Linked DNA regions of Drosophila melanogaster. Changing the gene in region 2 together with the main gene of any one other region gives a genetic interaction. Each region holds a gene or a part of one and is shown on either strand. Other genes may lie near its edges.

Evidence for each region. A genetic interaction does not mean that the proteins touch.
Region 1: of cmb (region 2) and frtz, changing one enhances a phenotype caused by changing the other (phenotypic enhancement), as found in Drosophila melanogaster (one study listed by BioGRID).

Annotation. Positions count from the first base shown.
Region 1 is NT_033779.5:1,710,798-1,717,530, forward strand, and holds frtz (fritz), read right to left. Parts: upstream 5,055-6,733; 5' UTR 4,760-5,054; coding exon 4,342-4,759; intron 3,677-4,341; coding exon 3,376-3,676; intron 3,321-3,375; coding exon 2,370-3,320; intron 2,312-2,369; coding exon 1,800-2,311; intron 1,746-1,799; coding exon 1,348-1,745; intron 1,291-1,347; coding exon 1,131-1,290; intron 1,071-1,130; coding exon 955-1,070; 3' UTR 505-954; downstream 1-504. Other genes in the region: mRpL48 (mitochondrial ribosomal protein L48), read left to right, coding at 54-488; Rim2 (replication in mitochondria 2), read right to left, coding at 6,306-6,432. UniProt on the Drosophila melanogaster protein: Probable effector of the planar cell polarity signaling pathway which regulates the septin cytoskeleton in both ciliogenesis and collective cell movements. Functions cell autonomously to regulate wing cell hair polarity and number.
Region 2 is NT_037436.4:13,440,990-13,448,605, reverse strand, and holds the start of cmb (combover), read right to left. Parts: upstream 6,013-7,616; 5' UTR 5,888-6,012; coding exon 5,618-5,887; intron 5,488-5,617; exon of another isoform or gene 5,307-5,487; coding exon 5,150-5,306; intron 4,918-5,149; coding exon 4,520-4,917; intron 4,394-4,519; coding exon 4,301-4,393; intron 4,239-4,300; coding exon 2,708-4,238; intron 2,598-2,707; coding exon of another isoform or gene 2,595-2,597; coding exon 2,326-2,594; intron 2,265-2,325; coding exon 1,723-2,264; coding exon of another isoform or gene 1,719-1,722; exon of another isoform or gene 1,645-1,718; intron 1,333-1,644; coding exon 222-1,332; intron 164-221; coding exon 1-163. Other genes in the region: CG14109 (uncharacterized protein), read right to left, coding at 6,302-6,979, 7,327-7,380.

The sequences.
Region 1 (6,733 bases), on a different chromosome or scaffold from region 2:
GACTAGATGAGCAATTATTTTGGTGGTCAGTAACCATTGTTCTCCGTTTGCAGTCCCTCAAGCCGAAATTCCCGCAGTACGAGAGCCTGAATGTGCAGATCAAGGGCTACGACTACCCGCAGCTGGAGAGCTACCAGAGGTTTCTGCACGGATTGGCCGAGTACCTGGACTTGGACGTCTCCGACTGCTACGCCCTCCCTCCGCAAAAGACCACGGTGCAGCGACTGCGGCCCAACTCCACGGTCATCGAATCGGAGTACAAGCTGACCACCTACGAGCGCAACCTGCAGCTGAACAATGTGGATGCGCCAGTCTATCCGCAGTTCTTGCGCCTGGCCCAGGCGGCGCTGCCCGAGGGTGTGAGCTTGCAGGTGCAGGAGTACACCGACGACTGCGAGGAGCGGCGCTACGTGCCCGACAAGGAGCTGCTCGACCTGAAGGACGAGCTGGAGCGCATGGGCGGACCCACCACCACCAGGAAGAAGTAGGCGGCGCCTCCGATTTGGCAAACATTTAATGCTTAGCTTTAATGAGTAACCTGTGTAAAGAGTATAGAGAACCTATGAGTAAAACTTTCCTATTTAAAGCTTTGCACTAACTGGGACGGCAATAGTTTAGCCGCCGTTTACAGAAGTTAATATTCTAATACAATTTCACGTGTCTCTTTTATTTTTGATCTGTCCTTTAGCTTGGTTCAACAGCGACTGACTGCCGCGCTCTCTGCAGAGTGGCGAGTCGATTAGTCGATAAGTTTCTCGATAATATTTGTATGTTAAGGATGGGTGTATGAGTGTATAAGCTTATGACTAGATTGGCTATGTATAATTAGGTATGTATGACTAAGAGTAAAGGAAGAGGGTAGAAGGAGCAGCCTACTACAATAGTTACAAACGATTGGAAGACGCAGCGCTTAACCGTTGTGTGGTGTACGCCTGGGAATTGCACTATGAATTATTAGACCACGCCGAAGTGGACCACCTTGATGGACGACGAGGAGGAGGAGGAGTTGCCGCCCTTGCTGCTGCTCTTGGGTTCTTCCTCGCGTCGTCGGATGGGCGGCTTAGTCACATCTGCGAAGAAATGACACGGTCAATGGGGCAAGGTTATTGGTGAACTCAACAAATACCCACTGGTCGTAATGGGGTTGAAATCCTTTAGATACTCGTCGTTCGGATGACAGAGCGGCAGGCTGTCTGCGAGCTCCTTTTTAGGATTTGTCAGATGTCGCGCAGCGGGCCTGGAGTAACCATTTCTCTTGGGTGGCATTGGCTTTTCCTTGCGAGGAATTTCCTGTTCGAGTAAGAGCATTAGTAAACTGTCACATCATCGATTGATTTGTTAACTCACTGGCACCACCGCCACTTGAATTGTATCCGAGAACTTGACTTTGTTCTTTTCGGCCGTTTGTGACTTTGCGGGCGTGGCGGGTGCTTCTCCGTTGGTGGGTGCTGGATTCGCCGGGTTGGACAATATGGATGCGGTGGGTTTCTTTTGCAGCAGGCGCTTCTGGTAGTCCTCGCTGGTGAGCGATGGCAGCATGGCGGGAATATTGCCAGAGACAAGCGGATGTTGATAAAACTTGGGCTGATAGGACCCTGTCGGCGGAGGCGAAGCTGGCATCGTGCTGAACTGACCCAGCTGGGCGCTCTGATCTGGAATGTTTGAAGGCGGAAGACGAGGAAGTGGACTACTAGCCATAGGCAGACCCACCGTCTGATCCGGCACGTCCTGGGACCACAAATTGCCTGAAATAATGGATAAATTATTTAAGTTATGAAGGGAATTTTCTTCACACGAACCATTTGGATGCAGACTCTTTGCGGGCGCCTGCTGCAGACTACTGTTGGACTTCAGGGTTAGACTCGCCAGCGAAGATGTTGGCGGCGCTATTGAAACCTTCGGCAAGGGCGGCCTCAGTTCCGGTTTCGGTATGTTGATCTTGATCATCTCAGCGTTGAATACCTTCGACTTGAACGAGGGCAGCGGTGGCACATAGTTCTTCAGGACCTGCTGGCTTTGTGGCTGACTTGCGCCTAGTCCGGTTTCGGGGGCAGTTCCTGCTCCCTGACCGCGCAACATGTCCGAGCAGGTGGACAGCGAACAGGCCGACTCCGAGCGCAGGTCACAGGTCAGGCTGAGATTGCCGTTGGCGCGATCTTCCTCGTGGATTATGGCAGCTGCCTGACTGAAGGCCACCTGGGCGAACTCACTCAGGCTTGAGATGCACTTGGTTAGGTTGTACAGGTCCATGAAGATGTCATAGTCGGCCACATCCTGGGCGATTTCGAAGGCCTCAGCGAAGAGGTTTTTGCTGCAAGCAACGAAAGGATTGAGCATAAAAGTGGCATGTTCACACGAGCTCAACTCACCGCAGCAGATAGAAGCAGAAGCGGCGCTTCAGATCGTACACCTGATCGCTGAACTCGTCCTTCGTCTCCTCGGAAAGCGTGTGGGCGAATGTCTTCAACGCTCTGGCCATCAGCTCGATGCGAGGTCGTCGCTGGTCACCGCCGAAGAACACATAGTTGGCTATCTTGTGCAGCGTAATCAGGCACATGGCTCCGTAGGTCTCCCAGTTGAGGGCGGCCAGGACATTGACCGCTCTGTCCGGCTGCTGCAGCCGCAGATACTTGTCCGCAATGACGTCCGCAGTGAGTCCGGAATTGTGGATGTCGCCGCGCATTCCGGTGCCGCCAAAGATGCGCATGCAGGCCAAAGGTCCCTGTTCGTACACCAGCAGCAGCAGGCAATCCGTCTGGGCGTAGGTGTGCTTAAAAGTGGACAAATCTGGCTTTCGGCTGAAGGCGACACTCAGCAGCGTTGGCTGGGCCACGAAGTAGTGCGACAGATCCAGCAAGCTGGACGGCGTCACATTCTCGCTAACCAGCTGATGGCCAATGGTGGCCAGCGCCAGGTCGAAGCACTGCAGCACCGATCGCTCGTTGGCCACGCAAAGCATGGCGGAGTCGCAGTGCCAGGCGCACTGATTGGGCACGATCTCAATCTGGTTGGCGTACTTTGTCGACTGCTGGACCAGGTCGTGCAGGCAGATATTGCGATCGACGCTGCCCAGGAAGAGCTTCTCCTGGTCGGGGCTGAAGGCAAAGGAGCAGATCTGGGCGCCCATTGGAATGGAGGTAATGGCGGTGCGCTGCATCTTGCCGGCGGCCAGTTCGTAGGAGCAGATTTCTGCGCTTATGTCGCCCTTGCGGGAAACCTTCTGCTCCAGGGTGATGATCTGGCTCTCGCTGCTTCGCAGGAAGTCCACGCACAGCGGATCGTTCTCCGACCAGCAATAGGCAATCGATTCCAGCTGCAAGCTGAGCAAAGCGATTAGACTGGGCCATGGAGTGGGAGTTGTACTGTGCAACTTACCCCTTGATCTTGAACACATGTATGTTGGCACGATCTTGGTCCCTTATCGTTGGCCTCCAGGGATACACCTCGTTCTGCGAGGACTGCGTCCAAACCACGAACAGATCGAAGCTGGCGTTAACTGTGAGGTGGCGGGATAGTTTGCGCTCTGTGGCGCCCGGTATGATCACGTGGAAGATGCGCGGATCCATATTGGCGATCTTCTCCGGTCCCTGGGAGCGAGCATTAGGCCTCTGCAGATGCACCACCGTCAGCTGGTTGGTATTGTAGGCCAAGACGATGTGGGAACGGGTGAAAAAAGCTGGCGAGACAACGGATGCGGGCGCACGACGAGAAAAGAGACACAAGCGACAAAGCTGAATGAGTGGCTCGAACAAAACATGGAAAGCCGGAGGATGGTGGATGGGGGAAAGGGGTTGGGGGTTCGCATATTTACAGGCAACAAAACAAGCCAGCAGATTAATTAAAAATTACAATAATTGCATGCCCTGCATGTGTGCGTGCGGCTGTGTTGGTGTGGGAAAGTGCAAATCAAGTCGCACTTGTTGCCAATGCAAATTTCTCCATAACTGCACAAGCAGCACTCCGCGGAGCAAGGCCAAATGCGGACTGCACTCTATCGAATGACTGATACCCTGGATGACAAGCGGCAAACAGCACAAAGAACTAAATGCAGGACAGCTTTTATAGCTGAGAGCTTAGTGAATAATTAAATGGCATGCATGTGTTTCTAGCAAGCTGTCTTGGTAATTCGTTCTAATGATGAGGAACCTTTAATTACGCCTGAAATAGCCATTATGTATTGCGTGATGTTAACGCATATTAACTGATTTTCGAACGCTGCAAGTTGAGATGTCTGCCAGTCGAGCTGCACATGCAGAAATGCAATGCCCAAGCTGATTGATGGATGGCTCTAATGCGATGGAGGGCGGGCTGGAGCGGGTGAAAGGAGAGAATCGCACATACCATCCGTAATGACCTCGGAGGCGAGCTTGCCCACCAGGTACTTCTCGAAGACCATGCGCAGAATGTCGCCCGTGTAGATGTCCACGCAGATGTGGGCGATCAGGCCGTGTGAGAAGAGGAGCAGCACCTGCGCCGCGTCCTGCCACTCGGAGTGGATGATCCTGTGCTGGCGCAGCAGGTCCTCCAGCTTCTTGAGGTTGTCCTTCAAGCGGCCGGTGGACTTGCGACCAGAGTTCTTCAGCACGGCCAGTCCATTGCGACGCTCCGTATAGTCTCGCTTGGCCAGGCAGGCGAGGTCCTGCTGCTCCTGCTCCTTGTCGCGCTGCCTGAGGTAGCGAAAGGCGCCCAGGTCCTGGCTCTTGATCCGCACCACATCCTCGCGCAACGTGGTCCAGAAATGGGTCTCGCTGAGCAGCATATTCAGGCCTCCAGTGCATCGATTTGCATGGCGGAATGATGGGTGTCAACGCGACTCGATCAGCTCGATCTCGATTTGTTGGCGTGTGCCTTTCAAGCTGCTCCAATTGCACTGATTGCTTTGTATCGGGGTTAATTGCGCTGCTCTATGACTGCTCTGCGACTCGTTATCAAGGTTGCTCGCGGAATAGCCAACGAATTAGCACTTTGGCCAGGATTTTTCGCTTTAAACAAACTTTGTTTATGAAAATAAAATAAACTTGTTGCTCGAAACACTGCTTACGTTACTAGAGACGGCACTTTGTTACGTCGCTGAGCGTGGTGGTGGCGTGATATAGATGGACTACAACTGCGATCGCTCACGTGGTGGAGATCTTCGATGGAGCACATAGGTTGTGAACCAGGCTATGCTATGTTTTTAGCACGTACCCGAACCAGGATCTAAATTTTTGAAATTCAGAAAAATAAAATATTTACAATAAGCTACCACTACTTTCGCAGTGTAGTAGCTAGCCAATAAATCACTTTAATTTAGTTGTGCGAAATCGTATTATCTTGGCCAAATCGGCTTATCTCATCTCACTTTTATGGGCGGCAGTCTGGTTAGCCAAGATGAACTATGTTCGACTGCAGACGATTGTTAAGATAAGATAATGTACATATATATTAAATGGGAAACGAGTGGGTTATTTTTAAACAAAATTGTTGTATTTATTGATTTCACCATCAAATCGGATTGCAATCAATTATTCACAGTGGTTTCCTTAGTTCTTTGCTCATTATCAGTGAAATACGTTTTGCGTGGAGGGGGGGGGGATAACTAACTAACTAGCTAACTAATGGACTAAATAAACAGCAAAAATTGTATCAATATAGTTAAAGTAATATAGTAGAGTAATGATAACTAAATCGTATATCGCATTTGAGGAAACTTAACGGAAACTTTTACAGTTTACGAATCGGATCGGTCGGCTTTATATCTATATATATATATATTTAGCGGCATCTACTGGCAACTGCGGCCGATTCAACATTTTGTGCTTACAACTAAGAAAACTACGCCAGCGAACTCACTCTTTAACTATTTACAATGCACTCTGAGCGAATCGAGTCCTATGTACACTATATTATCCAAGTATCAACCACATTTATACACTCAATATATATTGTAACTTTAACTAAATAGCAGCCTTTTCAAATTTTGATAACGTTTCGCCCTGCGGTGGCATACCACATCCTTCTGTGGCATGCAGCAAGTGGGTTTAGGGTGTGGATGGTGCACTTCGATCCTGGTGCGTGTTTCCCATTATTGGTTTTTTCTTTGTTTGCTTCTTTTTTTTTTTCGATTGGTTGGCCAACGTTCAACGTCTAACGTCTTAAGTCTATCGAGTTCGTTTCATATCTGACTTAGAAGCTAGTTAACTAAGAATTTGCGCTCGTTGGTTTGGATCGTTTAAAAACGAGGGATAAAATTACATAAAGTTGCAGCAGTCGCGTCTACATATGCACAGATTGGGTTACTCCTTCTCCAGTCCTTTGAAAGGCATCTAAAAGTCGTAGAACTCGTTCGATTTGTTGTTGAAGCGCCGCGTGAGCACATAGACGACCGCCTCATAGGTGGCCATCATGATCGCCGTGTTGGGAATCTGTCGCACCAGCTGCGTGGCCAAGCCTCTGTGGAAATAGTTGGTAAAGTTTACAATTAGTAGGAGAATTTGCTAAGGTAGAGCTCTCATATATAAAACACCTCGAGTGAGCACGCTCGAGAGTGATAATCAAATTAAGGTAAACAAACAAAAAATATGCGACGCAAAAGAATTTAAATAGATTTCACGAATTCGTGGGTGGCACATTATGATAATTCATTAGCTTATATGTATATGTTTCTTATATACATGTCGGAGTGCAAGTGGGATTCCCTTCGATTCTATTTCAAGACGGATTCAAGGGAACTACACGAACAAGGGAATCCCTA
Region 2 (7,616 bases):
CCTCTGCCAGTAGGGAGTCATTGATGACGGTGTTGTTGTGCGTCTGATTGCGAATGCGTTTGATAATGTACTCGATTAGTTCGTGATCCGGTGCCAGTTCTATGCTGGTCCCTGGTCCTGATCCCGAGCCAGAGGCTTGTTCTAGTTTTCCCTCGAGGATTTGCTGGTAAGGAAGACGCAATTATGAGTTAATCGATCCAGTTTACGAAAGCCTTTCTTACCTCTTCGTTCTCGGTCCTAAGAGAAGAGATAACAGCAGAAGCACTGTCCTCCATTTCATCCAGGTGCTGCCCGTTCTGTGGATTGGACAAACTTAGCTGCTTCACTGGCGTTCCTTTTTCGTCCTCGGGCCGATCGTTGTCTAGCTGCAGACGCATTACCTCTAGCGGGGTTTCACTGCGACTCTCGGTGGCCTCGGCGTCGCCAGTAGGTTCGTTCTCCTCCTGGTTAAGAGCCTTTCGCAAGCCGTGTGGTTCATGTGAGTGCTGCAGCTGCTGATTTTGTTGCTGTTGTTGTTGCTGCTGCTGCTGCTGCTGCTCGAAGAGTGTCTCCAGCCGGCGGTAGACATCCTCCTTGATTGATTCATAAAACTTTGTGGTGAACTTGTCGTTCTTCAGAGCGTTAACCAGCAGATTTCGATTCAGTTCCTCGGAGGCCGTTTCCTCGGTTTGCTCCATGGCATTTGATTCGTCCGCGGGCGATGCTTCTTGTCCGAGCGTAGGAGTAGTGTCCACTGGAGTAATCTGGGGTAGCTCGATGTAGTCCATGTAGTGAGCTGGAAGTTCGAAGTCGAAACGAAGATGTCGCTGCTGCAGAGGAGTAAGCGACACAGTCGAAGTGGTGGGCTTTGCTGGTACCTTGTTCCGCTGATACAGCGGACTGTTGCCATAGTTTACGTTCATGTTGAGATTGGAGGAGCTAGCCTGCTCGGACTCATCATCCCGCAGCGTGGAAAGCTGAGGACGGCGACGATTGCGACGTCGACCCGAGCCGAATATGACGTTATCATGGTTCTCCTCCACCTCGTCCACATCCTCATCGTCGTGGTCGCGAATGTGGCCTGCATCATCGCGCCAGTCCCTTTTTCTGCCCGAACTGCCGCTGTTGTTGAGATTATTGCTGCCATTGGAGCTGCTGCCATGCAAAGCGGTTAGTGGCGCCTCGAAAAAGTGACGACGCTGCTGCTGGTGGGTCAAACCACCACGCGTAGTAGGCGGAAGCAACTGGGGCGGCTGAAAGTAGCTGGGACGTGCCCGTTGTCGCCGATACTGCTGGAGGTCCACGTTCAGCTCCTCGTTGCTTTTATTTGATAAGAGATTTTGGCGCGAATGGCTGGAAGAGCGTACAGATATTAATGGGTTAATGCAAGCGGGTAGCAAAGAATCATGCAGTTGATAAACTAGCTAAATCTAGTGAGCGTTACTAAGTTAAGTTTTTCTATTCCATATATCCTTTTTAAATTGAATACACATCTTTTATAAATTAGCTTTGTTTACTGCCGAATAGGCACTTGCAAAACTTGGTCAGTACTTGGAGTTAGTCTTGGTTAGTCACTTTCAACTCTGTTAATGGGACACTTATCTGCAACGCGTGGTCGCACTTACCGGTGCACAGAATTGAAAATTAACTCTTCACAATAGTTTTATTTAATTTTTATTGCTTTTGACCCTTTTCCATCAAACAACCATTAATAAATCCAACACCAAAGTTATAAAGCATTACCTGCGGAAGTTGTCCCAGTAGTTGTTGGCTCTGTTTCCGGGTGGTACTTGATTGTTCAATGTAATACCGCCACCAGGTGCTCCTCCACCAGCTGCTCCCTCGGGCAGCGAGTGCAGATTGTTGGCATGCTGGTTCTGGGTTCGCAGATTCGAGTTGTTCTGATGTATCGTGTTGTTATGGTGGTTCATGAAGATGGGACCTGGACTTGAGCGGTAAGTAGGCGGCGACAGGGGTGTCTCGTTGTTGAAGTGCGTCGGCGGTGGCGGGGGAGCAGCATTGTTAAGGAACGGCTGCGCCTGATGCTGCTGCTGTTGATGATGATGCGATTCTGCCCCGCTACGATGACAGCTGCGCTGATAGTTACTAAAGGCGCTCTGGTGGGCACCAAAGTTAAATAGCTGCTCAGATTGAGCTCGACTGCTGCCCAGGCACAGATTGTTGGGCATCTGACCCATTCCAGGGCCCACCGGAGGCGGTACTGATTCCGAGCGCAAGCCGAAGCTGTGATCCTGGCATGCTACAACATTAAATCGATCCTGGAGCTGTGAAAAAACACTTGAATTAGTCTTTGATTAGGCTCTCTAATCTCATGGATTGTCTTACCGCATGTAGCTGGTGGTTGAGGTTGTCGATTTCGCGCTGTTGATGCCACAGTGCCTGGTTGCACTGGCACACAGAGTTGATAAGCATTTGCTGCGTCTGCATGAACTGCTGCAGCAGAACTGCGTCGGTAGAGGCATTCGATCCGGATCCATTTGAGGAGCCCCCTTGTTGGGCGGCTGGCAGCTTTTTAAACTCTGTGCCGGCACTGGAGCTCGGCTGACCGTAGACGGGCTGCTGTCCATGCCACGAACTTCCAGAGTTGTGTGATGCTGCTAGCGGATGCATAAAAATAAGCGTAAAACGAGGAAACTAATACATGAATTCAAGTTGGTAAAGTAAAGTTGGTAAATTTCCGCCTTTGTTGGTGGAATTAAAAACGTACCCCACATTCCAGGCACTGGTTGCATGGGGGGCGGCATGTACTGCGATCTATTGCTGCTGGATGGTATGCTGTCATTACCCAGGGATAGCGTATCAAGTGTCACATTCAGGTCATCTTCGTTTAGCGTCGACGGAGGAGCAGGCGGCGGTGGTGGTGGTGCCTGCTGTGGGGGAACGTTAGGTTGCTGACCTCGTCGTTGCTCCACCACTGTGTTGGCGGATGGAGCCCTCTTTAGGGTCGCTGAGGAAGCGGTACGTACGTTGGCGAAGTACTTATCGCTGTCAGTGTCGTCGTTTGCCTCGTCATCCGCCTCCGATGTGGTGTTGTTACTGGCTACGTAACGCTGCTCCAGTTCCCGCTGCTTCTGCTCGTATTCCGTTCGCAGGCGCTCGCACTGCGAGCGCAGTTCATCGCGCAGTTGTTCCTTGGTGGGCGTAGCCTGAAGAGAATTATCCACTTCGGATGGATCCTCTTCCTCGGTCATCCGCTGTCTCATGGGGGTGGGTGTTGGGGTAAGACTGCTTCTTTTAAGTGCATCATCGCCCATTTGAACAGCGGCGGCCGCCTGTTGTTTGCGTCGCTCAATCTCTGCCTTCAGGGCTAGGATACGGTCACGCTCCTTTTGCAAGCTTGCTGCTTCCGCTCTCAGTTCGCTCGTAACATCGTTCAGAGCGAATACGCGCTGGGCAATCTCGGCCGGCAATTCGCGCTCCACGCTAGTTCTTTCCTCACTACGCCGCTCTAAGGTGGAGCCCATGCTGGGAGTACTTTCTTCAATCTGGCTAACAGTGTACAGCATTCCCTTTAGTCTCGCCATCTGAGCCTTGAGTGCTTCTATATCTGCCGTCTTCTGGTTGATCATTGCCTGTGCGTGAAGTGCCCGTTGAGCAGCGTTGGCCGCCTCCTGGCGTATGATGGGTACGTTTCTCTGATACTCCACAGGAACAACACGCTCCTTGGGAGCCGCTGGGGCAGCCTCCTCTGGCTTGGGAGGAGGCGTGGGAGTCTCCTCTTTCTCTTTGATGACTCTAGCAGTCTCCCTGGCCGCACGGTTGATGCTGTTTAGTTCGTCCACCAGATTGCGCATATCCTCACGTTGGGTGCGCAGTGATTCCAGTTTCTCCTGCAGGGCTTCCTGCTCGGCCAGGATCTCGGGCCCATCATCGCCAAGCACCGTGCTCAGTTCGTTCTGGTTGTGTATAAAGGCGGTGAGATTCTTCATGCGCCCCACCAGCGACGCCATGTCGTCCTGTACCTGCTGCACGGACTCGTATTTGGGGGCCTCTCCCCCATTGACATTGTGGGGTAAGCTATCGGCTTGCTGGCGCAGCCGCTCCATCTCGTTAAGGTGAGTCTTGGCCAAATTTTGGATTTGTAACAGCTTCGCCTGTTCGTCGTGCAGGTGCTGCATGTTCCTATTGGAGGCTTCCAAGCGCTGCTGCAACTCATCGAAGCTGGGCGTGGTATCGGGCGTGGGCGTTTCCAAGACGCTGTGTAGGGACTGAATGGATTGGGCGCGGTTGTCGCTCATCTGAAAGGTACAAATGGTTTGAGTACTAGAAGGCAGACTTTTGGTTTTATTAACCAACTAACCTCGCTTAATGCAACATCCTCCAAGCTGGTCGAATTGACTACGCCTTCACCCTGATCCGAATTTGGGTTGATTTCGTGCACCATGTTGTTCGTCTGGGGCAAGAATTAAAGGATTTAGTTTCATTTATTATTACGATATAAAAAATGTTATTATCAATCTTATAAATGTTATAAATGTACGGCTCACTTGAAGTTCCTGACACAAGCTTTCAAACTCACCTCTACAACTTTCCTACTCGGTTGATATCTGCTATTCAGGTTCTCGTCTAATCCTAGCAGGGCGCGTAACACGTCAACCTGCGAGCGAAAACCTTCGGTTCTGGGAGCAAAATGGTGTACACCAAGAAGTCGGTGAACGAGTTGTTGCAGTCCAGCGGGGGTCAGTGGCGGTGCCTGCTCCTCGTTGCCACTCAAATTGCCGTTTCCGTTGCTGGTAGTTGCGTTCGGTATGACCACACCTACTGTGGCATTCGGAGGCGTCGATTGACGCAAACGCAGCAAAGCCGTCGAAGATGAGGGGGCGCCTGTGCTATTAGCTGACGAGGATGGCTGGTGCTGAACCCTCTGGACAGGACGGACGGGGAATCGATAGCGCTGCTGCTGTTCCTGCAGTTGCTCTGTAATGGAAAATAGCCAAAGATCAGTATGGATGTTTAGGTCCATTGCTAAATACTGCGCTGCGAACTACATCATCTCAGTGGGCGTTTATTTTCGTGCGCATCTTATTTATAGAACATGAACTGGCGCACCGATCTCTGTGTGGGCCAGGCCGATCACTTTGCCAGGTGCGGATATTGGAAATTGCTCAATTAAATGTGTATATTCCTCAACGGTTTCAGGACCCATTACCTGCTGTATCGTAGTTGCCGTGTTCGGCGGCCAACTGACGCAGTGCCTCGCGCTGCTGTTGCTGTTGTGCAGGCGACCTGTGATCCTTGCTAGACAGATGCTGCTCCGCCGGCGATCGATTCTTGGCGTTGGTGATGCGTGCTCGCTGGAGGAGATCCTTTAAGCAACAGTAAATGAAGATTAGCAGGAAAACCAGCACGAGGATTGCGGTAATTTTGCTGATTTTAGGTCTATATATATATATCTATTTCAGATATATATATATATATGTATAAGGGCGCTGCTCTGGCCGATCGAAATTCGTTGTCCGCAGTGGTTGAGTTCGCATTCGCTACTGAGCCAGCGGCTAACGAATTTCCGCAGGTCGCGATGAGTGTAAAGTGTATTTATAAAACCAAGAAGAGAAAGGTCTTGGTGTCTTCTCTTCGAGAAGATTTGCCATGGCAACCAGACGTCCGTCTAACTTACATTCAGAGTTTTCAGCGTCTCCCGCTGCAGCGTCTCTGGCTCGACAAGTTCCATGTCCGGTTCGCCCAGGTGCTCCTGCTGCCGGCGAGAGCGGGCCGACCGGCTGGATGTCACAGATGCACTCGACCCGGACGTGGGTGCTCCGTTTACAGGCGTTTGTTGTTTAGGCACCGCACCGGTTGCCCCGCCCACCGAGTTGTTGTTGCTGCTGCCATTGCTGCGGGCGCTGGCGTTGGCTTGGTCCACAACTACCTTGGGCGGCGGCGCCATTAGAAAATATATATATATATATTTGCGTACAAAAAACGACGCTACAAAATTGAAAAAACTCCTCTTTTTTGTACTCCCACTTTGTTTTTTTGCTTTGCGCACTCTGACAGCTGTTCCCAACCAGGGCTGGAAGCTAGTTAACAAGCCTACCAAGTTATGGTCACACTGGCAGCGGACGTTTTTTGAAATCGAATGTTTTCTAAAATTCAAAAATAAATATTATTTTTAGTTTAAAATAAAATGTATATCTGTAAAAAGTATTTTAAATGCTTTTGGTGTAGATAAACTAACGTTACTTGGTAATTTGATATCTTTTAAGGATAATTATTTATTTGGAGATTACTTTATAATATGTTCCTTGGATAATAAACATTATATGACTAGAGCCATTTTCCCTTTCAAGTTTGGACGTGCCTACTTTCCCTGCTTGCGCTGGATGATGTCCTCCTTGAGCGCACGAATCCGATCCCTCTCCGCCCGGAGTCCCACCGCTTGACCGCGTAGATCACTGGTGAAGTCCGTGAACATGTTAAGCATGGAATTCAGGAGCTCGGCGTTATCGGGAGCACTCGACGAGGTCGATGGATTCTCTTCTTGGGCACTCTCTACGGCCTCGCTGGCCACTCGGACTTCTGACGAGGTGGTCTGCCTGCTGGTCTGAACGGAGGTGGAGCTCTGGACCTGTACCGTTTGCCTGGAGGACATGTGCTCCTCGATCATCTTGGTGGTGTCCACCATGTTCTGCACGCGCTTAAACTGCGCCTTCAGGTTGGCGATCTCGTTTAGCTTCTCCTGCAGATAACTGGCCTGCTCCTCTTTGTCCTCCCCGCCCTCTTCCTCACCAGATGGTGCCTCTTCCCGGTTTGTGAACTCTCCAGAAGCACTGGCGGATGAAGCAACTGTTACTGTCTCCGATGAGGATTCAACGTGGGACTGAACCTCCTCCTCCTCGGTGGACTGCCGCACTTGTCGGCGCTGGGCATTCAGAAGGGTCAGCTCAGCGGCTCGTAAGCGCAGTGTCTCCATCTCCTCAAGCAACTGGCGGTGCTCCTCCTGCATCTCTTGCAGCTGTCTGTTGGAAGCAGCTAGGCGCTTAAAAAATACAAATAATTAGTTTTGAAAGCTTCAATAATGAAAAAATTGGTTTAAAAACATCATAGTTCAAAGACTACATTAGGGCATCAAAAGAAAAATGATTTTGTATATTATTATTAAAAAACTCTATTTTTTAGCTCACTGGTATAGAAAAAGCTTCGTACTTAAATTTCATTTCAACTGAAACATCTAGAGACTGTAGGCTTATTGGTGTGACTCATTCATTTTGTTGTCTAAAAAGAATGTGTCACGGTATTTATTTAACTTTACTGACTGTGTTTTCTTATTGTTTTAAAACACTTAAATACTAAGAGTTTTGCAATTTCCCGAAGACTCCAGCTTACCTCGCTCAAGGCGGCATTGTCCCCATTTTGAGGCCTATTCAGTTCGTTGACCATTTTCTGGGTTCCTGAGGAGAAGAGGGAATACTTGGTGTTATGTATATCGTGCACGTTGATTATTTTCTCAATACAAACAAAGGCCCATCGCAAGGCACTGTCTATAAATAAATGGCTCTTTGTTAAATTATTTTTCAGTTAGAATAGTGTCAGTCATCTTGGCATTTTTGAAGACAAAACTAACAAGTGCACTTATGAAAATGTACACCACAATACACCACATATATTATACTTGA